7 linked regions of the Nothobranchius furzeri genome follow. The protein of the gene in region 6 binds, or shares a complex with, the protein of the main gene of each other region. Links are inferred from orthologs where the notes say so. Each region holds a gene or a part of one and is shown on either strand. Other genes may lie near its edges.

Evidence for each region.
Region 1: snrpe (region 6) and armc7 share a complex: the UniProt entries of both Homo sapiens proteins name them as parts of the minor spliceosome. The link is inferred for Nothobranchius furzeri from reciprocal best matches to the Homo sapiens genes SNRPE and ARMC7.
Region 2: snrpe (region 6) and cwc15 share a complex: the UniProt entries of both Homo sapiens proteins name them as parts of the minor spliceosome. The link is inferred for Nothobranchius furzeri from reciprocal best matches to the Homo sapiens genes SNRPE and CWC15.
Region 3: snrpe (region 6) and gemin5 share a complex: the UniProt entries of both Homo sapiens proteins name them as parts of the SMN-Sm complex. The link is inferred for Nothobranchius furzeri from reciprocal best matches to the Homo sapiens genes SNRPE and GEMIN5.
Region 4: snrpe (region 6) and smx5 share a complex: the UniProt entries of both Homo sapiens proteins name them as parts of the U4/U6-U5 tri-snRNP complex. The link is inferred for Nothobranchius furzeri from reciprocal best matches to the Homo sapiens genes SNRPE and LSM2.
Region 5: snrpe (region 6) and gemin4 share a complex: the UniProt entries of both Homo sapiens proteins name them as parts of the SMN-Sm complex. The link is inferred for Nothobranchius furzeri from reciprocal best matches to the Homo sapiens genes SNRPE and GEMIN4.
Region 7: snrpe (region 6) and snrpd3l share a complex: the UniProt entries of both Homo sapiens proteins name them as parts of the U7 snRNP complex. The link is inferred for Nothobranchius furzeri from reciprocal best matches to the Homo sapiens genes SNRPE and SNRPD3.

The regions. Positions count from the first base shown.
Region 1 is NC_091756.1:50,515,179-50,519,237, reverse strand, and holds the start of armc7 (armadillo repeat-containing protein 7), read right to left. Parts: upstream 2,801-4,059; 5' UTR 2,768-2,800; coding exon 2,708-2,767; intron 2,634-2,707; coding exon 2,546-2,633; intron 549-2,545; coding exon 405-548; intron 326-404; coding exon 1-325. UniProt on the Homo sapiens protein: As a component of the minor spliceosome, involved in the splicing of U12-type introns in pre-mRNAs.
Region 2 is NC_091750.1:48,553,597-48,557,191, forward strand, and holds cwc15 (protein CWC15 homolog), read left to right. Parts: upstream 1-1,160; 5' UTR 1,161-1,311; intron 1,312-1,396; exon of another isoform or gene 1,397-1,539; intron 1,540-1,641; 5' UTR 1,642-1,657; coding exon 1,658-1,788; intron 1,789-1,871; coding exon 1,872-1,984; intron 1,985-2,088; coding exon 2,089-2,189; intron 2,190-2,260; coding exon 2,261-2,371; intron 2,372-2,468; coding exon 2,469-2,617; intron 2,618-2,728; coding exon 2,729-2,858; 3' UTR 2,859-3,095; downstream 3,096-3,595. UniProt on the Homo sapiens protein: Involved in pre-mRNA splicing as component of the spliceosome. Component of the PRP19-CDC5L complex that forms an integral part of the spliceosome and is required for activating pre-mRNA splicing.
Region 3 is NC_091750.1:72,354,333-72,358,590, forward strand, and holds the start of gemin5 (gem-associated protein 5), read left to right. Parts: upstream 1-1,458; 5' UTR 1,459-1,582; coding exon 1,583-1,724; intron 1,725-3,986; coding exon 3,987-4,141; intron 4,142-4,258. Other genes in the region: mrpl22 (large ribosomal subunit protein uL22m), read right to left, coding at 1-31, 487-622, 1,069-1,111, 1,197-1,221. UniProt on the Homo sapiens protein: The SMN complex catalyzes the assembly of small nuclear ribonucleoproteins (snRNPs), the building blocks of the spliceosome, and thereby plays an important role in the splicing of cellular pre-mRNAs.
Region 4 is NC_091756.1:60,995,450-60,999,571, reverse strand, and holds the start of smx5 (smx5), read right to left. Parts: upstream 2,801-4,122; 5' UTR 2,724-2,800; coding exon 2,721-2,723; intron 2,532-2,720; coding exon 2,464-2,531; intron 2,136-2,463; coding exon 2,105-2,135; intron 2,019-2,104; coding exon 1,959-2,018; intron 1-1,958. UniProt on the Homo sapiens protein: Plays a role in pre-mRNA splicing as component of the U4/U6-U5 tri-snRNP complex that is involved in spliceosome assembly, and as component of the precatalytic spliceosome (spliceosome B complex).
Region 5 is NC_091753.1:62,515,922-62,520,158, forward strand, and holds the start of gemin4 (gem-associated protein 4), read left to right. Parts: upstream 1-1,437; 5' UTR 1,438-1,533; coding exon 1,534-1,543; intron 1,544-1,876; coding exon 1,877-3,841; intron 3,842-3,930; coding exon 3,931-4,087; intron 4,088-4,160; coding exon 4,161-4,237. Other genes in the region: dhrs13b.2 (tapasin-related protein), read right to left, coding at 1-216, 311-586, 661-837, 942-987. UniProt on the Homo sapiens protein: The SMN complex catalyzes the assembly of small nuclear ribonucleoproteins (snRNPs), the building blocks of the spliceosome, and thereby plays an important role in the splicing of cellular pre-mRNAs.
Region 6 is NC_091743.1:2,209,503-2,213,462, reverse strand, and holds the start of snrpe (small nuclear ribonucleoprotein E), read right to left. Parts: upstream 2,801-3,960; 5' UTR 2,661-2,800; coding exon 2,607-2,660; intron 805-2,606; coding exon 778-804; intron 701-777; coding exon 638-700; intron 1-637. UniProt on the Homo sapiens protein: Plays a role in pre-mRNA splicing as a core component of the spliceosomal U1, U2, U4 and U5 small nuclear ribonucleoproteins (snRNPs), the building blocks of the spliceosome.
Region 7 is NC_091746.1:48,714,724-48,718,978, reverse strand, and holds snrpd3l (small nuclear ribonucleoprotein D3 polypeptide, like), read right to left. Parts: upstream 2,801-4,255; 5' UTR 2,669-2,800; intron 1,879-2,668; 5' UTR 1,864-1,878; coding exon 1,738-1,863; intron 951-1,737; coding exon 758-950; intron 375-757; coding exon 310-374; 3' UTR 179-309; downstream 1-178. UniProt on the Homo sapiens protein: Plays a role in pre-mRNA splicing as a core component of the spliceosomal U1, U2, U4 and U5 small nuclear ribonucleoproteins (snRNPs), the building blocks of the spliceosome.

The sequences.
Region 1 (4,059 bases), on a different chromosome or scaffold from region 6:
ATCCCGATGGCCGTCTGCACCCCCTGCATCTGCAGCTCAGCCTGTCTCACCTGCTCCTGGCTGCAGCAGTCCTGCAGGAAGACCGAGGCCAGGTTGCGCAGACGGGGGCTCTCTGCGAGTGAGAAGCGCAGCATGCACTGAACGATCCCTGGCTCTGTGATCTGAGAGCAGGTCGCTGGTGTGGTGAGGTTCATCAGGGTGGTGACGGCAGACAGCACCGTCTCCTCCCTCCGGTTTGACAGGTGGTTTGTGATCAAGCTGATCCCATCGTTCTCCAAGATGATGTCTCTGCATCCAGGGTCCATACTGAGGTTACACAGACCCCCTGTCAACACAATATTTGAGTTTAGATGATTTTTACATAAACAAACATGATTTACTGTTTTAGTTGGAGAGATGCTCACCCATCCCAAACTCCACAAAGTTCTCATTCTCTTCGGTCAACATGTCCAGGAACAGGTCAGGAACCTGCAGCTCCCTCAGGTACTCCATGTTCTTTGGGTCATATGCAAAGTTGGCTAGATTTGCCAGAACCTGCTCCTTTGCCTCTGATAAAGAGAAAAAGTAATGAAACAAACAGAGATACCTACATCCACTAATTCACCTTACACCAGCTCATTACAAACAATGATAAACAGAGGCTGCAGCACAGAAACAGTACACATTTATACCACAGGGGGCGCTTTTTACTTTCACATCAAAACACCCTTCAGGCTCAAATGTGGAGCTGACAGTATAAAAATAAGATTTGTCTGTAAACTAGAAAGGCGAGGCAGCTTTATTTGTGTAGCACATTTCATACACTGAAGCTATTCAATGTACTTTCCAGGTGCATGACCAGCATGATCATAAAAGATTAAAATCAACGTGACGACGTAAAACAGCAGCTTTTAAATTCAAATTTTAAATACTCTAATAAAATTAAATGTAAGAAATAAAATAAAAGACAAAGTTAAAGACTGAGCGCAGAAGGTACAGCATGAGAAATAATCCTTCAAAGGCTGATGAATGCATGAAAGTCTTCCATTTTGACTTAAAAGTTACTAGAGTTGGGGCACATTTCAGGTCATAAAGAAGCTGATTCCATCTGTGAGCAGCATAGTAGCTAAAAGCAGCTTCACCCTGTTTGGTTCTGACCCGAGGTTCTACCAGCTGACTGTTTCCTAAGGATCTCAGAGCCCTGCTGGGTGTATATATACAGGAAGGAGATCCAACATGTATTTTGGCCTCATTTATAAACTAGCAGTAGCACTTAGTAATCGTTTCTATAGTTTAATGGCAGCCAGTGTAGATATTTACAACTGGATGGATGGATGTGGAACTAGCGCATTATTTAATTCATCACATTATCTGGCTACTTATTTTTAACACCGTTTTTTTAAAAATAAAAACAAGCAGCTTTCTGCGGTAAAATCCAACAGAAAATGTTTACTTATGGCAGTAATCTCAAAGTGAACTAACATGTAGAATGAACAATCAGAATTTGGTTAAATAACGTCACTTTTTGGTTTCCAAATACTAAGCTTACATTTATTTCATGTCACAACGATACACTTTCAGAATAAAACTTAAAACGCTGCTTAGAATTACAGCTTATTTGATGTATTTGTTCACTTCTACCTGATTTAGTCATGTTTACAGATTCTTTTTCGAAAAATTTTAACTTCATGAAGTCATTTGCATGTATTTGTGATCTTTTTGTCTTCTGAACACAATTCTAATGCTGATAGTCAGCCTTTCTCCTATTGCAATGGATAAAAACTGGTCTAACATATATACAAATGTTCTTTTGACGATTTTTTTTCTCTCACTTCAAATAAATATACTGATGGAGAGTACAGTTTTCGACTGAACAACGGCTTCTGAAAAAGCCCTCTAACGATATAAATAATAGTGATGTGTCAGTCCGAACGAACCGGCTCTAAGAGTCGGCTCTTTGAAGTGAACAACGGGAGCCGGCTCATCATTGGGAGCCGTCCCCTCCCCTCCCCCCTCCCCTCTTGCTTTGGTGAACGCTACAGGCGATTGGTCAACATGTGTAACTGTGTGACCAGACTGTCCACACACAGAGCAGTAGGGACGGGGAAGAGGGAGAATCAGACTCAGACACACAGCAGAGCACATGCAGGTGGAGGTAGACGAGAGGGAATGAGGAGGAAAAAGGTGAGCGAGATAGAGAGGAGAGTGTGATGAAGACGGTGAGAAAATGAGCGCCAGCAGTCGGAAAGTGACAATTTCTTAAAGTGTTCAGTTATTAAATCCATAGAAATTATAAATATTTGATATATTGCATTTTTTTTTACATTAGTAAATAATTTTACATATAGTTTTGCATTATTTTGGTTATAAATGTACTCTACGAAACAGAAAATCTGAGGAGCCATTTGGGAGCCGAAAGAGCCGGCTCTTTCTGGTGAGCTGAGCCATTCCCATCACTAATAAATAATAGCATGCATCTAAACTGAGGGTGTTGAGAGTCTACGTGTTCGTTTTAAAACGGTTTTTATTTTAACTTTGTAGAACACAGATCAAAGGTTATTCCTACCTTCACTGTCAGTGTCCTGAAATTCAGTAACCAGCGTCTGTAAATATTCAAACCGTTCAGGCGCTTCAGCTGACTCATTTCTCTTCATCTTTTAGCAAAAACACATTTAACACTTCAAATAAAATTCACACAGATATCAGATTATGCTGATGTTTAAGTTACTTGACCGTTCATAGCTGATTCAGAGGTTGTTTTCATTTCACGTATGGGTCCGCGGCTCATAAGTGTTCGGAAAAACTGCGCAAGTAGATATTTGTTCCGCTGTTTTATCAAAACTTGTTTGTCCGTGAAGATGTGTTCCCCGTTCACTTTCGCATGATTTAAAGAGTAACGCATTTTTAGCTACACGAAATCGTAACATCGTTGCTATAAACTCGCCTATAACGTTATAAATGCTAGCATTGCTGTCACAATTGTGCAATGAAATACGCGAGAGCTACGCGAGCCGATGAGGAAACACATTTTAAATGGTGTACAGAGATTGATACAACACCGGCAGCTGAGCGGAAGTTAAGGAGCAGAAGGTGTGTTTGTGTTTATGTGCTCGTACAACAGCACATAACGCACGTTGCGGGAGGTCAGCTTAACAAAAACGCTATGTCGCTTTGTTTATTTAAGTAAAACAGCAACAATGAATCACCACCGGCTGTCCGCGAGAAAGCGCCTCGCCAAACCCATTTTGTTCGGAACTCTGCTGGTTGGACTCGCCACTATTTTCATTAACAGGTGAAACTGAGCTTTGCTAACTGCGTAAAAGAAACACACGCACAACACATTTCACTGTAACACCGGTGTGACGGTGAAACTGTCATTGGAGACTGAAGCAAAAATATTAAATACTATGAGTTAGCAGCAAATCGTAAACATATTTGCTTGTCGTTTATGCAGACACAGGTTCCTTGAAGACGTGGTTGAGCTCAAGGCCCAGGAGCGAGAACGCAACTATGCCAGGATGATGGAAGTCCTGGAGAGGAGGGAGAAACAGAAAGAGCTGGTGGAGAAGAAGAAGCAGCAACAGACAGGAAGTGACTGAACATATGAACTTTTTGCAGACGACTGATGCTTTACAGGCCATCAGACATTACAGTCATCCAGTAAATCAGTAAATTATAAGACTGGATGGAAGTTCAGCTGAGCAGGAACCACGCTTTTAAATTTTGACACTCGTGTTGGTCAAGCGGGAGCAGAATTAACCACCATCTACATAAATAGCCTTATTTTTAACTCGAATCATCTTTAATTTGTCTTGTTTTTTTTATCTTTGTGATTACTGTCTGTGATGGGTGTTATATAAATAAAATGTACTTACTATCTGGGAAAAACAGACTAAACCCCTAAGCCAAACAGAAACAGTGGGAGAAAAATATTACTGGATAAACGATTTTTTTTTTTATCAGGGTTGAATTAAAACCAAAGTATCAGGACTTGTATTTTGTCATTAAGGTGTATCAAGTCTGAGATATAAATTTTAACTTCATAATGGAGAGGTTAGAGAAGATTTTGAAGTTTTAATC
Region 2 (3,595 bases), on a different chromosome or scaffold from region 6:
CATTAAACTGGGCCAATATTAACTGATAATTTTTCCATCTTGTTTTCATTTGTTTATCTGTTTCAGAGGGTGAGGGAGGTGATGTGTAATTGTTTAGTCATGTGACAGTGATTGCAATCATCTAACAGTGTAAACATGTGTGGTGTGTGTACATAACGTCAATTCAGCTTTAATCTTTACAAATCTGTTGATCTTAGAAGCATTAATGTCAGTATATCGGTATTGGCAAACATCGGTTATCGGCCATAACAGCGATATATCAGATATTGGTATCAGCCCCAAAGTTTCATATCGGTGCATTGCACTGAAGATTTCTGTTTATTCAACTTTTCAGGAATATTTATGAGCTTCAGGTAAAAAAAATGTCATAGCAGGAGGTCAGAAAATAATGAAATGCAAACCTGAACCATGATCGCATACAAGACTAAACTGTGACCTTCTTTCATCGAAGGATTGCGTAATTATACCAGTCACTATGGTGTCATGTTGTGAGGTAAGTGTCTAACCCACGACTTACAGAATCAGTTCACAGACTACGGTCGGTTTTAAACAATAAATTAATGGAGAAAACAAGGGAGCAGCATAAATGTAGCTGAGATCTTCAACAGGAGTCGGGTGCAGGAATCTGCAGACAGATGGAGGTTAGATCCAGCTTGAAAAGGGCAACAGGGACTTTAGAAAACTGGGGAAGCACTAAGATTGGTCTGTAATTATCATACTGTAGTAAACAAGATTTGTGGTTTTCTTAATTTGAACACTACATTTTATTGACCTTGTAAACATCCATCCATCCATCCATTGTCTGAACCCGCTTTGTCCACGTAGGGTTGCGGTGGGCTGGTGCCTATCTCCAGCGGTCAATGGGCAATCAGGCGGGATATACCCTGGACAGAAAGCCAGTCCATCGCAGGGCAACACAGAGACACACAGGACAAACAATCATGCACGCACACACACACACACACACACACACACACGCACACACACACACACACACACACACACACACACACACACCTAAGGACTGTGGGAGGAAGCCGGAGTACCCGGAGAGAACCCACGCATGCACAGGGAGAACATGCAAACTCCATGCAGAAAGATCTCAGGCTGGGAAGTGAACCCAAGGCAACAGCTCTAACCACTGCGCAGCCGACCTCGTAAACAATACAAGTAAAATAGGTTCTTGGAGTCCTGTCATGCCGGTCAAAATATGCACGATTTTTCTCCGATTGTTCCTGAACGCGTCTAGTTCCGGAAGTGACGCACCGTTGTGTACAGGAACGTTTCCTTTTCACTTTTGGAAGCAGCTTCGTAAGTGTTGTTGCTTTAAAAACGTATTTAAATTGTGTTGTTTATTTTAAGCTTTGTGTTTCAAACATGTTTACTCTCGTAATTATCTTGCATTGGGTTTTAAAAATAGGAAATGTTCCTTAAATTGCATTGTCACCCACGTTAGCCTGTTAGCAACTGATTAGCGGTGGAAGCTATCAAGCTAACTTGTGTTTTAAACAACATTTAGGAGGAAACTGATCGTTAAAGGTTTTAACTCATATTAACATTAGACTTATTATGATGTATATCTAAAATTACTTATTGTAATTTATGAATTGGTCAGTTATTTTCTGCTTTACGTTTTGCCAGAGCACGGCCATCAAAGATGACTACAGCTGCAAGACCAACATTTGAGCCGGCGAGAGGGGGTAGAGGAAAAGGAGAAGGGGATTTGAGTGCTCTTTCTAAGCAGTATTCCAGTCGGGATCTTCCAGGTCACACCAAGATCAAATACAGGTCAGAACAGTGGGTTCCAGTTTCTCAACCTTAAATATTTATTCGAACTACTTAAACTGTGTTTCTTTCATCTCAATTAAAAGGCAGCCTACCCAGGATGCCCCTGAGGAAGTGCGTGCCCGTGATTTTCGCCGAGAGCTGGAGGAGAGGGAGCGTGTAGCTGCTCGTGAGAAGACCAGAGAGAGGGGACCAAGAGGTGGATTTTTCTACTCATAATAAAGATTAGATCCAAAAAGGATGTATGCAACGGTTTCTGGCATAGTTCCTTTAATCTGTATTGTGTTGATTTTATTTCTTCAGAGCACACCACATCATCTTCTTCATCATCATCATCTTCAAAAAGGCCCAGACTGGATCAGATCCCAGCAGCCAACCTTGATGCCGATGACCCTCTCACTGATGTAAGGATTTACATTGCAATACATCCCAGACTTACACTGGATAAAGTTATTAATCCATTTTTACATTACAGGATGACGAAGACGAGAACTCAGATGAAGAAAGTGATGATGACGACACTGCAGCCCTGCTGGCTGAACTTGAAAAAATTAAGAAAGAGCGAGCTGAAGAGCAAGAACGCAAAGTAAAGAGTTTTAAGTTTGTGTTTGCTTTGGCTATAAATGAAAAGTGATGTTATAGAGGATGGCTTAACCTCCGTGTGCTTTTCTTTTGTTATTTAGGAAAGAGAGCAGAAGGCAGAGGAAGAGAGGATTCGAATGGAAAATATTTTGAGTGGAAATCCATTGATAAATTTAGCAGGACAGCAACAGCAGCAGCAGCAACAACAGCAACAGAGCCAAACTCAGAACACATTCAGAGTCAAGAGAAGGTATTTCTTATGTTCACTTGTTACAGCAAGAATGTTGGTTTTTTGTTTGTTTGCATTTGGAAAAACAAATATATTCCTTCACCACCACTAATAATTCTGATGTACTTCTAGGTGGGATGATGACGTAGTGTTCAAAAACTGCGCCAAAGGAGTGGATGAGGCGCGGAAAGAGAAACGTTTTGTCAACGACACGCTGCGCTCTGAGTTCCACAAGAAATTTATGGAGAAATATGTAAAGTAGAGGACTTTGTGTGTGTGTTTCATTTGATCTTTTTTAATTGAAAATGTTTTAGTTTCAAGCATTTTAATTGCAGCTGGCATTTATTTACAGTCTAACTAATTGGAAACCGTACTGTCTGCAGGTCAGTTGCTGTTTGCGTAAATCATGAAAGTTTGAAGCACATTTCAGAATGTGATTTCAGTATTTCTGTCATGCATTTTTCATTATTTGAATAAACATTGACTTTTTTCCCTTGAATTACTTTGCATAATTTCACAGAAATAACAGATTGTGCATTTTTTAATTTTAAAGGGTAAATTAACTTAAAAAGTTAAGTTTTATAAAAAATGCTAGGGGTGGGGTGCCTAAAATCAGCACAGAAATGGGTATGAAGAGTGTTGCTTTTCATTTAACCCTCCACTCCCTAGTGCTTTTTTTGTGCAAAAGGTAATGGGTTTTGCAAAAGTTCAAGGATGTGGCGAGGGTTAAAAGATACTTTGTAACTTGTTCATATTTTTAGATAATTTTCTTGAGCCAGTATGTGCTAAAATAACCCTTCACAGTGTTAATGAAATGCCACCCAGCCCCTATCGCCCCCTGTGGCCAAAATATCCCACTTGCAGCTTCACAGTTGCTGGTCTGATCTGTTGAACTTAGAAGAACTTGAGCTGACATACCTGGCGCTGCAGTCTAGTTCCAGCAAGTTTCCTGCATGGTTTAGATCATGAACACAGCTGATTTGTTTCATTTAGTGATGA
Region 3 (4,258 bases), on a different chromosome or scaffold from region 6:
ATTTGATCTGCCTCCTGCTGTGGTAGACCTCCTGCAGGAAAACGTTCAAACATGAAGCATCAGGTGAGTCATCAGCTTCCTGACACCAGATGGTTTTACTACATCACATTTGCTCCTGCTTGATCACAAAGGTGGATCAGTTTGAGTTGGATCACCATGGTAACAGAGACGAGGTTAGGAGTTATGCATAAAAGGTGAAACTAGTTCTCTGAATCTGTTTTTAAGGAACTCCAGGTAGAAAAATGTGAGTGAAACAACATTTAGATCTGATTTTTATCAGATCCTGGAACCAATCAGCTCACAGCTGTTGGTTCAATGTTTCATTAAACACAATTAAACTGATTTATTCAGGGTCAGATTTTTTGCATCTCTAGCCCGGTGGTCCTGTTGAGCCAGACTAAAGGAACCGAGCTCTGACGATGTGTTTGTAGTTAAACCCTCTGAAGAATTGTTCCATTGGACTTGTGTTGTAAACGTCAGACTCACTGCAGGTCGCCGAGGCTCATCCGGCAGCTGAGGCGGGAACACTTTCCGGTTCGCCCTCTCCCAGTGTTTTGAGTCCAGTGGAATGCTGGTGTGGACACAAGAGAGCTGCTGTGACATTCCAGCCAGAACCTGCAACCTGGAGAGAGAATGCAACAGACAAAACGTTATTGTGGTGTTGAGTCGTGGCCATGCCAAAGGGCATCAGGCATTAAACTATCCAGCCATCTTCATTCGCCAGAGAAACTGTGTGCTCTCCAACCCAAAACAAATGGTCTGTTTGTAACCATCTCTCCATAAGCCAGCCACGCCACCTGGGGAACAGCCATAGCAAGGTTCCTTATCTCTGCTGCAAGTTACAAGACGTCTCCTCCAACTTCCAGGACCGGGATTGGGCCCCTCTGCTCTAGAACAGGGTGGACATTAAATAAACGGAATCCTGCGATAAACCACTGCTTTAACACCTGAAGTATACCTGTATTCTGCCAGGGTTCTATTAGTAACCAAAGTCGCCTGTTAACGACAACTGTCTCGTGCATTTCGTCCTTCTGTTAGCTTCACAATTTCAAGTTTAAACCGTCTCACCTCGACTGGAACAAACCGGATGTGCTCCTGATGAAAGCAACACCTGCAAACAGTTATGAAAATATTAAAAACAGACACGAACACAAAAATATGTTAAATTTGAGCTTATTTATAAAAACTTCATTCACCGCGTCCTATCATCGCAGTCGCCATCTTGAATTTTTACGACACTTTCTGACACTCCTTTGGGGCAAAAACGTTTATTTTGTTGTTATATACTTTTACTGCTGTACATCCTTCTACTAACACAACATAAACACCCCAAACGTATGTATAGATAAGCTCTATTCACTATAATATAATATAAACGGTCAGTACATGAATTTAATAAAAGCACAATCCGCACAGTTTGACCCAGTTAAGATCCCGTATTGAGGACCGACAGAATTTACGACACCACGTTGAACGTACGGCATTGATGTTACTGCAACGCGAGTGAGAAGTACATGTGAGCTGTTTGTTTTGGTTCGATCCAGACTTCAATGTGTTGAATTTCTGACATTTAAAGAGCAACATGAACGAAAGGTCGCTTCCCGCCTCCCCTAACTGGTACTGCTCGCGCTGCAGTGATGTCAATAGCAATGGTTTACTGGGCTTCGGAGCCAACACCGTCATTTACCTGGTTGACGTTTCTGCGTCCTCTTGCAAGATTACAGGTGAGTTTACTATTCTCGTTACCTTTCATACGGGGGTTTCTCTGTGTCCGCTAACAGAACAGATGCGAAGAAAACATGATGACTAGAGTCTGGAAAGTTGTTAATCTACTGCTAGGAAGTTCCCATGTACCCACATTCTCTAGATTAAACACCAAACATGCAGATTAAACATCAGAAACACGTGGTTCAATCGGGATATGTGTGTTGGTTGTGAAGTTTGGTAGCTGGTGTGAGGTAGGGCAACATGGGGTCAGAGAGAAAAGTGTCCTCCACCGGTGGGAGAAAAGCCCCGCCCACGGAGACCCTATCATCCACCGGTGAAGGGTTACCATGGTGACCCTAATTAGCAACTGGTTGGCAGTTACCATGGTGATTCTAATGAGATGTTGTTTGTTACCATGGTCAGGCGCGCAGATAGGGGGGTGAATTTGTTTTCTGTAAAGATTGGTAATCTGAAAATCATTTAATGTTTTGCATAAAGCATGAGGTTGTGGTTAGTAATTAATTGGGAGAATAACAAAGGGCTGATGTGGATAGTGCTGATCAGGCCGAGCTTTGTTGCCAGTTGCATAATGGCTTCAAACACGTATATAATAGTGTTAGTTTTTTCGTAAACCATTGGATGAAATTACACAAACTGTTTGAGCTCTAGCTAAGGCTCTTGCAATAGTTTGTGTATGTGTGTATGTGTTTGGGGGAGGGTACATTGGAACTTTGTCCCAACCCCCCCCCCCCCCCCCCCCACCCCCAGTTTGAAAATCCTATCTGCGCCCTGACCATGGTCACACTGATAAGCCACCAGTGGGGAGTAACCATGGTAACCCTAATGAGACTCCAGTGGGGGGTTACTGTGGTGACCTTAGCAAGACACTGGTAGTTACCATGGTGCCCCAAATGAGCCACTGGTGGGGCGCTGCTATGGTGACCCTAATTATCCACCTGTGAGGGGTTACCATGGTGACCCCGATGAGCAACTGGCGGACAGTTACCATGGTGATTCTAATGAGATGTTGTTTGTTTCCATGGCAGGGAGTAACCATGGTAACCCAATGAGACTCCGGTGGGGGGGGGGGGGGGGGGGGGGGGGGGCTACTATAGTGATCCTAGTGAGGCACTGGTGGTTGTTATGGTGATCCCATTGAGTCATCAGTAGTTGCCATGGTCTCACTAAAGCCGGGCGTACACTGTGCGACTTTTTCACTCGTAGCACTCAGCTTCAGCTCAAACAGGGCAGATCTCACGAGTCATGTGCTCACACTGCACGACCCAGTTCTCGGATGTGACCTGACTGCTCACACTGAACGTCTGGTAGAAACACGTCGGACCTAAAAATATGCTAAAAATAGCAGTTTTTACACAACGCGTCAGACTTTTTTGTCTTGTCTTGCCTGTTGTCCTTCGGGAGTGCTGCAGGAGGACACACAGGGATTTATGGGGGTTGGATGAGTAAAACAAAATAAAGAAAGTAAATCTGTGTTTTGTGATCAGTTTAATTTGACATGAACACGACAAACACGCTTTCTTTACAATCTTTGTGAGTAAAAAAAATGTGTAGAAACAAAAATGAACAGTGTGTGTTAATAGGGAAATAGCGAGCGGCGTTGATGCAGGATTGCGCATGCGCCGTGAGCGGTTCTGATACTTTTTGGGTCGCAGCTGCTCGCAGCACTGCTTCAACAGTGCGATACCCTCACAAGGGACGAGCAAAATATTAAATACGCCAGAAGTCTGTGCGACCTCACGACTGCTGATCGGCAGCTGGTCACGTGGTGTTAATCGCCTCTCGTAACCCCCTGTACACTACACGACCGCTCGGCGCAAAACTCGCCCCGATGTCGTGGATTCTCGCAGATTCTCGCACGAGTGGAAAATCGGCTCAAAAAAGTGAAAAAGTCGCACAGCGTACGCCCGGCTTAACGAGCCACAGGAGGTTACCAAGGTTACCCTAATGAGACTCCGGTGGAGGGGCTACTATAGTGATCCTAGTGAGGCACTGGTGGTTGTTATGGTGATCCCATTGAGTCATCAGTAGTTGCCATGGTCTCACCAACGAGCCACAGGGGGTTACCAAGGTTACCCTAATGAGCCACTAGCAGCTGCTTTAACCTGTCTGTAGTTTTTGGTTCTTTTTACACTTCTTATGCACCAGAAGGGCGATGGGCTTTAGGCTGAAGCGGTTCTGGCTCATCTTACCATTCCTCCAGAAATCTTCTGGTTACAATTTATTTTTCCTTTATTTTTCTTTTTTTGTGTGTGTTGCAGGTGAGCTTACGGGCCACAGGGACTTGGTGTCGGGCTTTTCGTTCTGTCAGCACCCGGAGCAGAGTCACTTCTGCGTCAGCGCGTCTACTAATGGCACCGTTCACTTCTGGGACTCCAGCAATAAGACTCTAATGAGGGAGCAGGCTGCTCATCAGGTGAGACTCTGCTGCCCCCCCACACAGATGAGTGATTTATAAAGTGTATCGGTTCCTCCTGCTGGCTGCTGGATCAGCTCATGAAGCCATGGACACGGGCATCACAGCAGATAAACT
Region 4 (4,122 bases), on a different chromosome or scaffold from region 6:
CAATAACAGGCAAGGAGAAAGACAGCTGCAGGTATCCACAAGGTCTGTTCTGTTCCGTTTACATTGGCTACGGGGGTTTCAAAGGAAATGATGTACGTCTATCTGAACGTGACTTACTTAGAACGTTTTGGGATGTTTGACACCGCCTCTGTGTTCGGCTTCCTGTCCGGCCGGTTTGATGGTTTTGGAAGGGTAGCACATAAACAAATAGCGTAACGATGGCGTACACTTTTGCCACTTACACACTAGCCGCCGGTAGAAAGGAACCTATTCGCTATAACGGTGGCTAATTTCAGCGAGGTAAGTTTAGCGTCCATTTCATGACGCTTTCACGTTCGGTGGAAAGCTCATTCAGTCTAACCCTTGTGGTAAAGGTGAGTCCTCGGAACGTCCGAGTAAACGTATTAACTAAAAGCATCTTTGCTGCAGAGAGTGTTAATAAAACACAACCGTTTGTGGGCTACAAATCCACAGGTTTGTGAGTTAATCTAGACTATTTAAAAATCACTTTTCCTTGAGTTTTTATGACTTCAGGTAAAAATAAAACTAGTTTGTCAAGATTTGATACATTTTTAAGGAGATACCCATGAGCAAGCCAAGTTGTGAGTAAGTATGGTTGAAATAAATTTCTAGTTAAAAACCCATTTACTTTCAGTTGTAGGGCTGAGATTTTTTAAATGTGGATATAATTTCAAACAAGAAACCTGATGACTCAATATCTTTACATCAATATAAATATAAAAACAGTGAATTTCTAGCATTAGCAGGTGCAGCTATTGCTATCCACTAGCTTGTTCTGTCTCTATGCGATCATTACATGTATTCTCACGTGTCTGCTCGATCAGGAAACCTCTAGGTCAATTTTCTGCCCTAAACTTTGCATTTGGATTAGTGGTTTTTAATTATTTGGGGACATTTGTTCGTGTTTTAGTGAGCCTTTTCACTACGGATGTGTATTGGTGAAATTGTGGCGATACGATACGTATCACGATACAGGGAAGACGATACGATATATCACGATATATTGCGATACATTCAGCCAGACGATATCAGCGATTTTTTAGACTGAATTTATTGTAGAAAATTTCAATAAACAGTCCAAACTGATACTTAACATGTTAAACATGAGGTATCTGAACCATAATAGAGGGATTTATATTTCAGTGGTGGAAACAAAACCCAATGCACACTGCTGCTAGCTAGCGGTCAGTGTTTGAATTGCACCAAAAGAAAAGAAAATACACAAATGTTTGCATGTAAACTATTCCAAAAAGTTCAACACATGGCTTTTGGATATCAATATAATATTGCAGGAAAAAACATCACGATATATTGCCATATCGATATTGTCTTACATCGCTACTTTTCACCGTGGCTGCTGACGGAGATTTATTTATCCTGCTGGTGCTGAGAGACGGGTCAAACCAGCGGCATAAATATCTAAACCTACATGTGTGTTAGCATACAGCTGTACAAGTGTTTCTACAGCTCAAACTGATAGAGAATGGCACTTAGGTTGATGTTTGACAAGAATCTGATTAAATTGTGCATTTAATCTGCTGATGAATTTATGATTACACTTTCTGTAGACAGCTTGAAGGGAGTTAACTTGCAAATATTTACAGAAGAAAAAATATGGAGGTATAATATTGTAAAATTGGAATTCTGCAAAAGGACACTGACAAATAAGTTTTCATCCAGCCCTATTAAGTTGTATTTTTATTTTCTGAGGACTAGAGGTAAGGCTTTAGTACTCGACCTGAAAACAAAACAAAAATCTGTCGCATCTTTGGTTTAAGTGAATAATCACACCTTTTTACCAATTAGAGGGCTGAGTTTGTGTTTGTTAACCCTGCTGTGAATGTGGAAAACACTCGTAGTGAGATTAGCCTCAGATTTCTACAGACATCTGAAGCAACGTGACCTTAGGACCGATGTGTCTCAAGTATGCTACTTACCATGTGTGGATATTTCTCTGGATCCGTCACACTGATGTCTGTCAACTTTATGTTCAGGTACTAAAAACCAAAAAGAGTAGGAATGTAAATGTCAAAAAACTGCAGAAGTTTGTCTGAAAGAGTTTCAAAAAGTGTATTTTCAATACCTGGTCAACAGAATGAAGCGTTCCGCAGATGCTGAAAACAGATGTGTGGATAAATATTCAAGAAAACAAACATTTGGACACTTTTGAATAGGCTACATGGCTCGTTTAGCTCGGTTGCCTTAATTTCCGAGTCAGACTCGTGTAGAAACGTCGCAGTACTAATAAGCTACAAGTCCATTGGAATATACAAAGAAATAGCTCAAGCTTTAGCAGAAGTTCATTCAAAGCTTCGCGTTTAGAGACCACTTGTTTCCAACGTGGTGCTACAGTGGGTCGAATTGCTAGCGTTCTTTCCTGCAAATGAACAACAGCTTCAACGATTTATCACAGCAGTGGAGGCCAAGCCGTAAAACACTAACCTCAGATCGTTCTTGAGCTCCACCACTACGTCCTTCCCAACCAGAGACTTGAAAAACGAGTAGAAAAGCTGCGGAGCACAACGACATGCTAACGTTAGCGTGTAGCTGCACGCTACACGTCGAGCACGACAGTTTATGAACAAAGAGAGAATGGAAACACTAACAGTTACACAAAGACTAAGGTAACGACTTATTTAACTGTCATGTGTTTGGTGTCATGCTAAATACATTTTGAATATTGAACGAGGTTAGCTCACCATTTTTGCGGTAGCTTTGTTCAGTAGTCGCGTCCGCTTTTGATGACGTATCAGGGAGCGCTGCAAATACAGACAACTACCACCAGGGGGAGCCAGAGGTCTTCAACATATTCAGCTTGAATCGTATCCATTTCTTTGACATGTTTTGCTCATAATTAATCAACATTGTGTTTTTTTACACACTTAAGTGTGATTACAGCATCTAATTTGCCTCTGAAAAATTAAATCTGCCTTAATATCACTTTGCGTAACAAACCCTAATAGTCCACGTCCCTACACACACACACACACACACACACACACACACAGAGAGAGAGAGAGAGAGAGAGAGAGAGATATGTTAAAATAAAGAAAATCTCACTCTGAGACTTTTAAAGAAGTCGGCAGCCCTGGTAAATAGGATAAACCTATGTGTGCCTTACCTACGTATGAAATATATGTAAATGGCCCTATTTTGCCCAGCTGTGTGCAGCAGGTATGTTTTTCTTCTAGAATAATGAAAACTGGTGAAAAATAGGTCTAAATCCTAATCAGCGTTGATTTAAATTGTGATTAGATGACACACATTTAAACAGATGATGACAGATGTGCTCAAACTTGTAAACAGCCTTAACCCATTAAAGCAAGGACATAAGATAGTCTAATAATTAGGTGATAAGATAAACCCAGCAGAGAAAAGAAGTCAGTCTAACAGTGGGATAAAATGCAACAAGATTTATGACAAGCTCACATTTGGCGTTTGTCTGCTTCTTTTATTAAAATAAATAAATGAATAAAAAACGGAAACTGGTATGGTGCAAAACAGGACAGAATGGTTGGTATAGAGATGAGTTCCCTTGTTTTATCTATTTGTTTCTACTTCAATGTTTTACCCCCTTTGCACTATTTTAATTGCTTTTATTTTCTATTTATTCATTGTGATTTATGTTTCTTATGTACTGTGTACAGCACCTTGGGCTCCCTGACAAGGTCGCGGAAGGCACTTTATAAACAAAGCTTTGAGTTGAATTGAATTCACATTTTCTTCAAAAAACTCAAGGTCCGGCTGTAAACATAAAAACTCTGCAGCAAGGGAAGACGGTTTCCTCTTATATGAAAAAGCCAGTCGTAGGAGAATTGATCCCTGGTGGGTACCACATAATTCAGTCGGTGCCTTAAAAAGTACCACATCTGGAATCCATCCCTACTCCTTATACTGGTCACCCTGGTGTGGGAAGGCTTCCAGTCTCAAACCAGTCATCCATGCTGATTGCCTTGGTCCCTCAGGTTCAAGCAGGTATAGTCCCATCAGTGTCTCTGCTCTCCAGTCCCATCTGTCGGTGGTCTCTGATGAACTGGTTTTGGCCCAGACTGTGTGCAGAATCTCACCATGATCTTTCTAGAGGAGTTCACTGGTTCTCAA
Region 5 (4,237 bases), on a different chromosome or scaffold from region 6:
CGTCTCCTCCTGCCAGAGCCTTCAGTGCCACACCTGATCCCTGCCTGGAGCGTCCGGTGTGGCTGAACAGTCGGGTCCTCTCCCCGCGGCGTTGCCAGTGCCACTCCACAGTGGTGTTTGCTCCCCGGTGGTCCACACTAAACTGGCAGTGGAGCTTTTGTTCAGATCTCAGGCTGGTTTTCACCAGTGGTGTTTCTGTTTTCATTACCATGGCAACTGTGAGACCAGATGGACAAAGACAGAACACAGAGAAACACCATCAAAGAACCAGAACTGGAGCTGTTGGCATTATGGAGTGAAACTAACTGACCTGATGTAGTGAGCATCTGTCCATCAGTGATGGGAACCCAGCTGAGGTAGTCCTGCTTTCCTGGTGGAGGCTGGTCAGACGGGTGTCTGAGGAAGCCGAGCACAGTGAAAAGGCCCTGGTTGTGTTTGAGAGAGACGGAGAACCAGTGGTTGTACTCCCTGGCCTTCTGACTGGGCCAGTGGACATAGATGCCCTGTGTGCTGTATCTACGCAGCTCACACTCCAGCTGTTCTGCCTCCACTCCCTCCACATAGTGCCGCATGTCCACCTTGGACCCTGCAGCAGAACACAGAAGAGTAAGGTGCAACCGTTGTCAGGTGTGTAATGGTGACCTGTGTCAGGTGGCTTACCTGTGACCTGAAAAGTGATGGTGCGTAGATCTACAGGAGCTTCTCCTGTCTGACCAAACTGCAGCACAGCATTTCTGGGGATCCGCTGGGTCTCTCTATGTCCTTCATTGTTCATAATCACCTGTTCATCTGTGAAGTGACAGGGCAGCCATAGTATCTGCTGGCTACAGTAGACCCCTGGAGACAGACCAACAACTCAAAGCAGCTGATCCGAGTGGGCTTCCTCCAAAAACACAAACTGTCCCCACACTCGCAGGGATACAAGCCTTCTGAAGACTTACCTGTCCAGATAAAACCGTAAATAAGAATCCTGCAGGGTGGAACCATGGTTATTCATCAGATCTACTGATCCTTGTTCCTGCTTCATTCAGCTGCACATTTATTCTCAGAACACTTTCGCTTTCATTTACAACGAAAAAAAACCTGCTTTGCATGCAGCTGCATCACGTGACGAGCAGAGACAGTTTCACAAGGAGAAATACTGCAAAACACTTTTAAATGTCACTAAAAGCGAGTAACGTTTAAACCATCACACGTAGGGCTGAACCGGTGTTCCGGTCTGGCGGCAGCACTGGTGAACGCGGTGTCTAGTCAACAACGCAAAACCTCGCAACAGTAAAAACAAACCAGTCAACAATCCAACAGAAAAGGCGAGGAAAACAACAACAACAACAACAATAACAACAAGGTGAAGCAGGTTTGGCGGTTTGCTGGGTTAATGCGGCTGCAGTACCGTATCTATCCAGGGGTGGCGCTGTGGGGACGCCTCGCCACCTGACAGCAGCCCGGCTTCCTGCTGGAAACCGGAAGCGCCTTTCCTGGTAACGAACTGGTTCACGAGGCGGGCGGGTGTATGTTCCTGCCTCCGCAGCCATGGACAAAGGTAATTATTAATGTTAGACATGTCTCGTGAACTTGCGCGAGCTTCGTCTCCAGTCGGTAGAGACGAACATGGCGCTAAACGCTCAGGCTGAAGCAGCAAGCTGCAGGTTTGAAGAGCCCTCTCCTAGCCAGTCGTTCGTTCTGGACCTGCTTCACCTGCAGCCTGCCCCCCCTTCACACACACACACACACACACACACACACACACACACACACACACACACACGCACACACACACACACACACACACACACACACACACACACACACACACCTGGATAACGCTGATCTCGGCCCAGCTCGGGTCTCAGCCTGTTGCTTGCCTGTTTTTCAGATTCCGCCGTGCTCCAGGGAGCTTTCCTCCAGGCAGACAAACTGTGCCTCCCCTCATCCCTGTCCCTGATGCAGAAGGCGGACTGGAGTCGTGTGAAGCTCCCGATCCTGCAGGCCCTCAGAGACACCTGTGGGCTGAGCGCTCTGGCCTGGCAGAAGAAGGTTGTTTGTGTGGTGTGGTTGAAGCTGATGAGCAGTGAGGCTGAGGAAGATGTGGAGAAGGGGTGGAGGGACAACCCTTTCTTCTGCCTCCAGAACGGCCTCCCTGACGTAAGCCGGGCTGTTCTGCTGGAGCTGGTGAAGTCACTCTCAGCTGCGCCGGTCTTTGCCCGCTTGCTCCTGCGTCTGCCTCAGCAGCAGATCTGCACCGAGCTGCAAACGCTGGCAGAGCATCTGAGGACGGATCCCAGTCCTGAAGACGTCTGCTTTCTGTTGGAGGTGTGGTGGGAGCTGTGGAAAGGCAGAGACAAATGTCAGACGCAGGAAGACAAAGACTTAGAGATGATGTTTGTCAGCCAGTTTGCACGCCTGTCCTCCGATTGTCCCAGTGTCTCGCCTCAGGCTGCAAAACGCTTAAAGCTGGACCTTCCTGCATCGTCAGCAAACACAGACGTTCTGCACGTTCTCCTCCATGCTCTTAAGAACATGAAAGATCAAGTATCTACTACAGATTTGTGCCTGCAGTCCCTGTTAGTCTGCCTCGACGCTCTTTACACATCCTTCCTAACAGACCCAGAGGTTGTGCTTCCAGTTGAAGAGAAGTTGCTCATCCTCTGTAGGCTTGTTGACACCAGAGGACAGACGCAGGCGTGGAGCCCCAAACTCCTTCAGGAGGCTCTGAGAGACCTGCGTGCTGCTCACTCACCAGCTCCTTTTCAGCCCAGCAGGATGACGCTGAGCCAAGCTTTGAAGATCGTAGCAGAACTCACAGAATTCTGGCTGGAACAGGATCTCCTGAGCGCTCCTGGCTGCTCCGCGTTCCTGCTGCAGCAGAGCGTCCAGAGAGTCCTGGCAGCTCTAGAAGAAACGGGAACATCTGAGCATGTGACTGAGAAGAGCACACTCAGAGGTCTGCTGAGTTCACTGTCTCTTCCTGCCGTAGAGACCCCCCCTCAGGTGCAGGCTCAGGTCGCTGCCACCGTCATCAGTCACCGCCTGGAGGACTGTGAGGAGTTTGCTGCGCTGTTTGCCAGCCAGTTGTCCTGGACTCATGAAGAGCTGTGGGTGGACTGCCTGGAGAAGAACCACACGGCCTTCACGCAGCCCAACACCCTCATCAGCCTCTCCTCCACCCTCGTGAGTCGCCTGCAGCGTGGGAACGTGAACACCACCTGGTGCAGGAGAGCCATTAAAACGGCTGCAGATGTCTTCTCTGCTCTTTCGTTAGAAAACCAGAACAAGGTCCTCGCTGCAGTACCGAGCCGCTCCAGCAGGGGCTTCTTTGGCTGCTCTGTCCCCTCGGCTGTGGCAGACGGCTTTGAGCAAGAGCTGAACATGGCCTTTAACTGCCTTATCCAGGGAGGGGGCGGGGCCTCAGCAGCAGTGTCCCAGGGCCGCCTGACCACAGCAGCCTCTCTGGTAGCTCGAGTGGCCTTTCAGAGCCCAGAGGCGGCTTTAAGGTCCTGCTGCCACGCCGCCGTTTTCAACAGGGGAGCCTTCAGCCTCATGGCAAAGATCCTGCAGCAGCTGCCTGGACTCCGCGGACGGAGGGGAGGGGAGGATGAGGCAAACGGAAACGATGTGGAGCAGCAGGAAGCTGGAGGGCGTGGTAGTCTGTTCTGTAGGTGTTTACAGACGGCGGTCAGAGGCAAGCCACTGTCCGCCTGTGAAAAGGAGCAGCTCCTCAAGTTCCTGTCTCTGCTCATGGCGCCGGGCCCGACGCTCCAGGGAGAGCAAGAGACACAGAGGTTCTTGTCTCCACAGGAGGTGGTCAACACACTGGTCCTGCCTCGCCTCTCAGCTGCAGGTCGGGGTCCATGCTGGCTTTAATCTCATCTGTGTGTGATCTGTAAACGCTCGTCACATTCTGCTGCTGTCCCATCTGTGTTTCTGCAGCTGAAGAGTCCTGCGATGCAGAACTGAGTCTGCAGCTCCTCCACGCTGCTTTGGCTGTGGGTGTCCAGGAAGTAGCCCCCTCCCCTCACTGGGTGTTGGACTGCTCTCCCTTCCCCCTCCTCTATATTCTGGCCCAGCAGTACAACCAGACTCTCATGTGTGTATGATCCCGTGTGTGTGTGTGTGTGCAGCGGTTGTTGTTGGGCTTCTACTCATCTGATCTCTGTTAGGTGCTGGGAGCGGTCGTCGGAGGACAGCGACCACCTGAGCTCCATGGACACCAAGGAGCTGCTGGAGTCGGTGCTGA
Region 6 (3,960 bases):
ATAATAAATGTCCTGAGTGCTGCCGTCTCCTCCTCTGGCCATTATTTCAGCTTTAGCTTAAAGAAAGTTTTGGTTGTAAACAACAAAGTGCGCATGTGCCGCCGGCAACTTCAGCAGATGATACGGTGGCTGGTAAGGGTCACCGCGCCTACACCGCAGCCACGGTAATCCACCGAGATAATATAGTTTTTTTTAAAAACAAGACGGTTATTACTATTGTCAACTTTTTTACCGGGGTTTACCGCTACACCGGTTACCGTGACAACCCTAGCCCTGACACACTTTCATATTCTCATGGTGCAGCTGTGTTCTCCAGAGATCAAGGACTAGGACCCAAATGAGGCTGTAATGCAGCAAAAACGTAAAAGAACCTGCTGAACTTTTCCCGCAGGACAAGTGTAAAGTTTTCATCCTACAACGAACAATACGGCACGGAGGAAGTTCAATATTTAATATGAGTTTTAGAGAAACTCTGGGCCGTGTGAGGTGAGTTTTTAAAGTTAAAAAAATCCTTTCACAGGCCCTGAAAACACTCTGAAAAACAGCCCATCCACGTGGGTATCCAGCAGCAGATAACCTATCAGGCATCCCTGTTGCATATGGAGGTAAGGAAGAATGAAACAAAGCCATTACTTACGATTATGCAGCCCTCTATCCTCATGTTGACCTGCTCATACAGCCACACCTGGATCCGTGAGCGCTGGGGACAGGCAGGGAACAACTTAGAGGTTCTTCATCTAAATAAAACCATTTCAAACTAAAGGGATAGCAACTTACATTTTGAAGGTATCTGAAGATAAGGTTCTGAAGGTAGAGTCAAGGAAAACCAACGCTCAGCAGTAACAGTACACGCACGTCTGTAGCCTACATTTGTACTCAGTTGTAGTGTTACCTTTATTCATTGCCATTAAAAGTAACTTATTACATTTTAAAGTAACAGAGTTACACTCAGCAGCTGCCAACATAAAAATCAGTACATAGGATTTGGTAACCATGTCCTGAAAATAAATGACAGCGGGGCTGGGACTGATGGTCGGACATCTCGGGCCGTGCCTTCATTCAGGTTTCACTTACAGGTTCCACTCCAAACAATCTCAATGTAACCGACCCGGCACAGAGGAGTTCTGCTCGTGTTCGGGCCAATGCCACTGACCGACTCTACTTTAGTTAGACCCAAACAAACATGTTTACACTTATTGTTATTATAAACCACAAAGGCTGAGGAAGACGAGGCTGAAGTTGGCTTCAGATCCGGGAAACCGCTAAAGGGCAATTACGCCCAATTTTTCTCTGACCATCTTTAATCTGCTCTGGCTGGAAAACTACAACACCTGCACTCTTCAAACCTGAACTGGATTATTCTAGACTAATAGCAGATTGCAAAAAACATCATTTGTGATTTGTAAAACCTTTTTCTGATTTGTGAAACTTCAAGAAACCAGATTTTAGCACGTTTTCTGCATCTAGACCACACTGAACAGCCATAGTTTCAAAACAACAATACCTAGACATTTCAAACCTGTACTGGATTATTCTGCACTGGTAGCAGAACAATTAAAATCAACTCTGATATTTGTGAAAGCTTTACTTAAAAGGCCATTTAATACCTTTTTGTGGTCCCTGGTTTCACAGCTCTGTTTCAAATATGACAGATGTTTAATTCAGGCTTTAAAAGTACTTTTCAGTAGAGGAGCCCTTAAGGAGCTCATGTATCTAACAAGGTATACTTAAGATTCATTATCGCGTGTGCACTAGGGGCACTTCGTTAGAAGGATTCAGCTAAACAGCTCACTCTAAATTCTAATAATCTGATAGCTGCTGACTGTATATCTTGTAGAAATTAAATATTAAAATCCAAATTGGTAATGCGACCCGTGTTTCACCCGATAATAAAATGTTAAACATGAGAAATGACCAGAGCCTAACTGTTTACAAAGCCCATTAAGATCAGGATTAAACTGATCAGCTATTAAGTGCTGCAGATAAACAGACTTTAACTTTTCATGTAAAATACCAAAAATAAAATTAAAACTCAGAACTTCACCGTCCAACTTCAATGTTTAGTTCATCCAATTCACATGTGATGAATCATGGACTATTTAAACTATGTTCGAGTAACCTGCCATTAGTCTAGGATATTGCAGTACAGGGCTGAAGAGCGCAGGTGGTGTCGTTTTCGAGCTAGAGCAGATTAAAGGTGGTCAGAGTAGAGAATAATTTGCCCTTTAGCCATTTCCCGAAGAGGTCGGAGGGCAGCTGTACAATGGCGTCCTCAGAACCTTTTCGATTACAACTGCAAAGTCCTACAAAGTACTCTGGATAACCGATGCTTCAGGAGATCAGAAGCTCCCATCACCTCCAGCGGTACAGCTAACCGGAGCCATTAGCATTAGCGGCGCTAGTTTTGCTGCTAAGTTCGCCTCGGGGCCGTTTCTTTTTCTCCGACATGATGCGGAACACGTGCATCATCTCATTAATTTTCATAAACACCAGAATCACACAGTTGGAACGGAATCCGCGCGTTCGTTCAGCGAACTGGGCCACCGGTTAGCCAGGCTGCTAAACACCTAGCTCCACTCACGCGTTCTCCATCATACAAAGGATACGATGGGCTGCACCATGACCTTCTGCACCTTCTGTCCTTGTCCTCTGTACGCCATCTCTCCAGCAAAACACCAACGAAATGTGTTCGGTAAACAAAAACTGCACCTTCTGGACCAAATGCACCTTAACGTTTGACCCGCGTTGAGAGCTAGCTACAATGGCAGGTTTCCGCGCGAGCAGGATCTTTAACCGGTCTGATTAACCGATTTTTAACAAACAGCAACGGAACAGCGCCTCCGCAGGACGGAGGACTCTACTGCAGCAGCCTGTTCGTTTTAGCACACCCTCAGGTGCCAGACATCAGAGCATGGAGGGAAAAAAGCAGGTTTCATTCAAACCCCATCAGACTTCTGACTTCATACCGTACCAATTTATTTATTTCATTTAAAAGCAGCATGGGAGCTGACCAAATGCGCATAACAATACAGTAACAATAAAACTCATAAAAACACCAATAAATCAGCCAATAAAAGCAGATAAAAACTACAATCAAACACACAATAAAAGAGAACTTTAAAAAGTCACAATCTGAAAGCCAAATCATAGAAGAGCGTCTTCAGCCGTGTCTTGGATGATGACTGATGGATAGTGAGTGACAAAGGCTCGCTTCCTCTTCGGGAGTAGCAGGCAGTGAGCAGGCCGCACTGCATCAAAGGTCTCAGAAAAAAGGTCTTGTAGCCTGACTAAACTTTTCCTGAGCTCCTTTTGTCTGCCAGACTTTTTTCTGAGACCTTTAGATCTGATTACGTAGTCAGAAGTCTGATGGGTTTGGGTTTTTTCTCTGTGGTCTGGATGGCTTTTGTGTCCCCAGAGGTGTTGTTCCAGGATTAGATCCGATCACGTGATTGGCTTGTTGAGTTGAGCTCATACCTCCTGGGGGTCAAAACAAAGTTGTATGCGTATATTTTGTAGTGTGTCGTCAGTCTGGGGCTTTTGGCCTCTAGATGGGGCTGTGTCACTTTCCAGATTTTACAGTCCATTTGTAAATATGAGACTTGGTTAATAGATGGACAAAAACAGAGTTAATTCCTCATCTTGATGTGTATAAAGCCCCTCTTTTCCCAGGAAGAAGGCCTTTAAATCCTGAATCTGACCATTGCTGGACAAAGCCGTTCCCCGTGATATTTATAGGTGGTTTTATAAAAAACGGGGTCTGCCATTTCTCTGTTGTGCACAGTAAACCTGTAACATGATGAGCCGAGTCAAGGAACACAGCCTTGAGTAGTTCACAATAGTATTAATAACATGCAACACAGGCTTGTCCCTGCCTCACAGAGGAGAAAGTGGGTTGATAATTAGCAGCCGAGGACAGACAAGTCTCTGCGAGTGGGGGGGAAGGCAAGGACCCTTGGTGGT
Region 7 (4,255 bases), on a different chromosome or scaffold from region 6:
ACTAGGATAAATATGCAGTAAAATGCTTTTCCGTGGGTAAATGTACAAATTTTACTTGCTAAAAGGTTACAATACACAATATAAATGAAAGAGGTGGGACTCAAAATTGAATAATACTACAAAAAAAGGGCTTCAATGGGGCAAAGCACAGCAAAGGTTCAGTCAAGAAGAGCAACACTGAGCTGAAATCTGTTTATTTCATACAAAATAAAAACAGTGATAAATTGTAGAGCAAAAGACTGCAAAGTAAACCAAAGCATAGTAAATCCAAAAGATGACATCAAACAATGAAATTTAAAACAAAATAAGTTATCGTCTCTTCTGGAAAATGTTGCCTCTCCCCATTCCACCACGACCTCGTCCTCTTGCAGCCACTGTTAAAAGTAAAAATAAAAAGTCAAACTCCAAAAAAAGGTATCTCTTTGGTCTGGAAGAAATGCCCCCCCACAAATCCCTATTTTCCCTACTCAAATATTTTGACTATGTTGGACTTCTACAAGAGAAGAAATTAGACAATACCATTAAACATTCCTTTGAAAAAGCCTTTTTTTCCCTTTATATTAGATAAAAAAGAATTGGGATCTGTCTTTCAAACCATTCCACCTCAGAAAATGTGAGAAGTGTCCACATAGAACACTGTTGTTACCTGTAAAAAAAAGTAATTAACAACTATTTAAGAGCCAAGCAGCTAAAGAGGGAACTAAACTCTAGCGCTGTCTCAGCATCTGGAGAAATTGTCCAAATGCTTCTCACTCACCTTGTGCTTTAAGAATAGCTGCCTTTCCTCTTCCTGCCCCAGAGCCTTGGTTCTTGTTCTTCATACTCTTTAACATCGGAGCATTCTTTAACATGTCCGGTAGGATCAAAAAGCGGATCTTGCTGCCGCGAATGTAGACCTGTTCCAACTGTGCAACCCGGCCATCGCGGTAGGTCACGGTGATGTTGGACATCTGTAGGGACAAATTCAAGTTTAGGTCCACAACAGGTGAAATGACCGTGTGAGCATCCATTAATCCAGTTCTGTTACTTATCTGGATCTTGGTGCACACAGGTTACCAAACTAGCATGGCTCAAATGTAAATTAACATTTCAGTTTATTCAACCCTTATAAAAATGTGTGCTGAAATAGAATCCAATTGAAGAGTGATGTTACTTTAGACTGTTTATTAAATTATGATGCAACAACAGAGTTAAATAACTGACTGAACTGGGTAAATCATGAAAGCTAAAGACCAACTTAAAATGAAAACCCAACATAAAAGCCTTTCTGATAAGAATGCTTTAATGAAACACTTTTACAAAAAAATAAAACTCTTCACACCAAGCATCCATGTACACCATTGTTTGGCCAAACGTTTTGCAATTTAGGGGAACACTAATCCCAAACACAAATTAGTTTACCAGTAATTACACAAACAAAAGCTTTTATGACTACATACCCCACAAAAAATCCACATTAACAGAACACCTTAAATGCCAAATTTACTGACCCAAGTTATTGTGAGTGCACAAAATAAAAATTAAATATTTTTTTTAATTTAACCCATTAAAAAGCTGCAAGAAAGGCAATTTGCAAGAGAAATAAAAACAAAATTTATTCAGGCAGCAGATGGGATTGAAACAAGCACTGACTGGATGTTTATGATCAACAGTATTTTGAAGGCTTTTCATTGACACTTTTCTTGACAATTAAAAATCACTGGAACCCTTTTAAACCATACTGCTAAACAAACCAACCTGGCAGTTCATATTGTCCTCTGCTTCTATCAGCTTGCCCCTGTACACCTCTCCAGTGTTGGTCTCACAGGTCACAATGTGACCCTCTGCCTCATGCAGGACCTTGATTGGTACACCGATGGACATGTTTCAAAGCTTTTCCTGGAACACAACACACAAAGCAAAAGATTATACGTGCTCACCCACAGAAATGTCTGCTCTTAAATATTGGCAACCCAAATCCATTTAACTTTATTGGTTAGCCGGGTTGCCCAGTTTCCAGCACTGAAATCTACAATCTGCATTACAACTAGTAGGAGAAGCAACAGAATAAGGCGAGTGAACTTTTTCATGACTGTGGATTAATACTAGTCACTGAAATTAAGACAAATAAGGAAAGACGCCCTGGGAAAACAGGTTTTGTGCAAAAAGCCATAACAAAAGAAGTGTTGTGAACCCGAACGCTACATTAATTGAAACTTTCATGTGGGACATAGTATTTAGACTTAACTAAAATGAAGGTGTTTTTATTATTTAGCATGAATTTACGCAGTAATACACTTTATAACATTACTAGAGAATAAACGATTTCGCTTGGGTATTCTCTTTTTTTAAGAGTCTGGTGGAGAATGTTTGATAGCATTCTAACCGCTAGCTCAGTTAGCCATACTAGCTAGCAAGGCTACAGGACAAATTTATCTAGAAACTACCATTAAACAATTCCAAACAGTAAATATGATTGGCCGTAAATGCTATTTACAGTTTACTACGATTAATAAGCATAGTTAAATACCTAAATATTTTACAGTAACATACGGAGTTTTGAAAATGCGCGTAACCTTAGCCATGCTACACATGAACGAAATAAATCGAAATTTCTAAATAACGAAAACCAATAGAAGAATGAGAACTCCGTTTCCTCAAACTAATTAATGTTACTCCTGTAACTTACCTTGACTTGTTCGTAAGAGTTATTTGCTTTATTGTTATTTCTTCTTGAACTGCAACGTGCGTTTGACGCTTTCGGGATCCTTTTGAGCCTTTTTTTCCGCCTGCAACGAAGGGTCACAACGAGTGTTTCCGGTGGCACCTACCGCGATGCATTGTGGGACACGTAGTTCAATAACGCCCATGGTTGAGGACTATTGAGTATGTACAGTCTATGGGACTATTATTTAGTGAAACTGACAAACTCAGCTTCTTATGTAGAATTATTTTTTTTATAAAGACTGAAACACATAAAATTAAATAAAATAAAAACTAAAATTATAAGAAACTATTTACATTTTAATCACGTTTCCTTAATTTATAATCTGTTTTTTACTTGTATTTGTTTTTAATTTTTTATGCTTGAGAAGCACCTCGCGATTTTTATCTTGGGGGCGCTATATAAAAGATTGTTTCATTCTTTCTTCTATAAATGTTGAGTTATGATGGAAATGAAAATTGATTTTCATTCTCCACAAGTAGAACATTGCATTTCTAAGAGGACTGAATATGTGTTTACGTACATCTGACTAAAGTTTAATGAATAAACTTGATTTCCATGATTTTGAAGGAAATCAGCTGTTGACTACATTTTCTGCATCGTCTAATGACGATGGGCAATTTATGCAGCTACACCAGACACTGAACTGTATTGTTTTAAAAAGCAAATGTTGATCCAGTAGCAGGATTGATTTGCATTTTCTTTCAGAAAAATAGAACAGTTTTGCATTACTTGTCATCTTGGCTCCAAGTTGACATTTACAGCTTTACATGGCTTTTCATAAAGCAGCTCAGTGTTAGGTACTTTTTAAATTCCCATGGAACATTGATCCATCATTGAATCACCCACAACAGTATTTTTATGATCTGTATCTCATGCAAATCAAAACAGCATTAGACATAAAAACAAAACATTAAAATGAACTAATTTTATCTATTTTTACAACACTGAGTATGGCCACAGTGTACTGCACAAATGATATGCAAAGAACTAGAATAAACATAAAGTACACATAATATACATACCCGTGTATGTTTGTTCCAGGAGATGTGTCTCGGGGATTGCTACGGGACACATAAAAGTGGCCTAATGCAGGTCTGTCCCACATTGAAAGAGCTTTTTAATGGGGAAAGAGAAGGCATAATGGGATAATAAAAGACATCATCAAATGAATCTTCATTTGATTTCCATTGCATTTGGCTCATTGACTGGCGTCAGCAGCCATGGCTGATCTGTAAACACCTTTCAGTGAGTAGTTTGTGGTTGGGCACTTTACGTGTGTGTGTGTGTGTGTGTGTGTGTGTGTGTGTGTGTGTGTGTGTGTGTGTGTGTGTGTGTGTGTGTGTGTGTGTGTGTGTGTGTGTGTGTGTGTGTGTGTGTGTGTGTGTGAGTGAGTGAGTGAGTGTGAGGAATCTTTTTATGATTTTGATGTGTGCAGGCCAGACCCTGAAAGTAGTGGTAGCATCACAGGTAGTAACAAAGTGGAAATAAGTCCTTTGGTTCAGCTGAAACGTAGCTGGTTTGTGTTCATTGGTGACTTCAGATCATAGG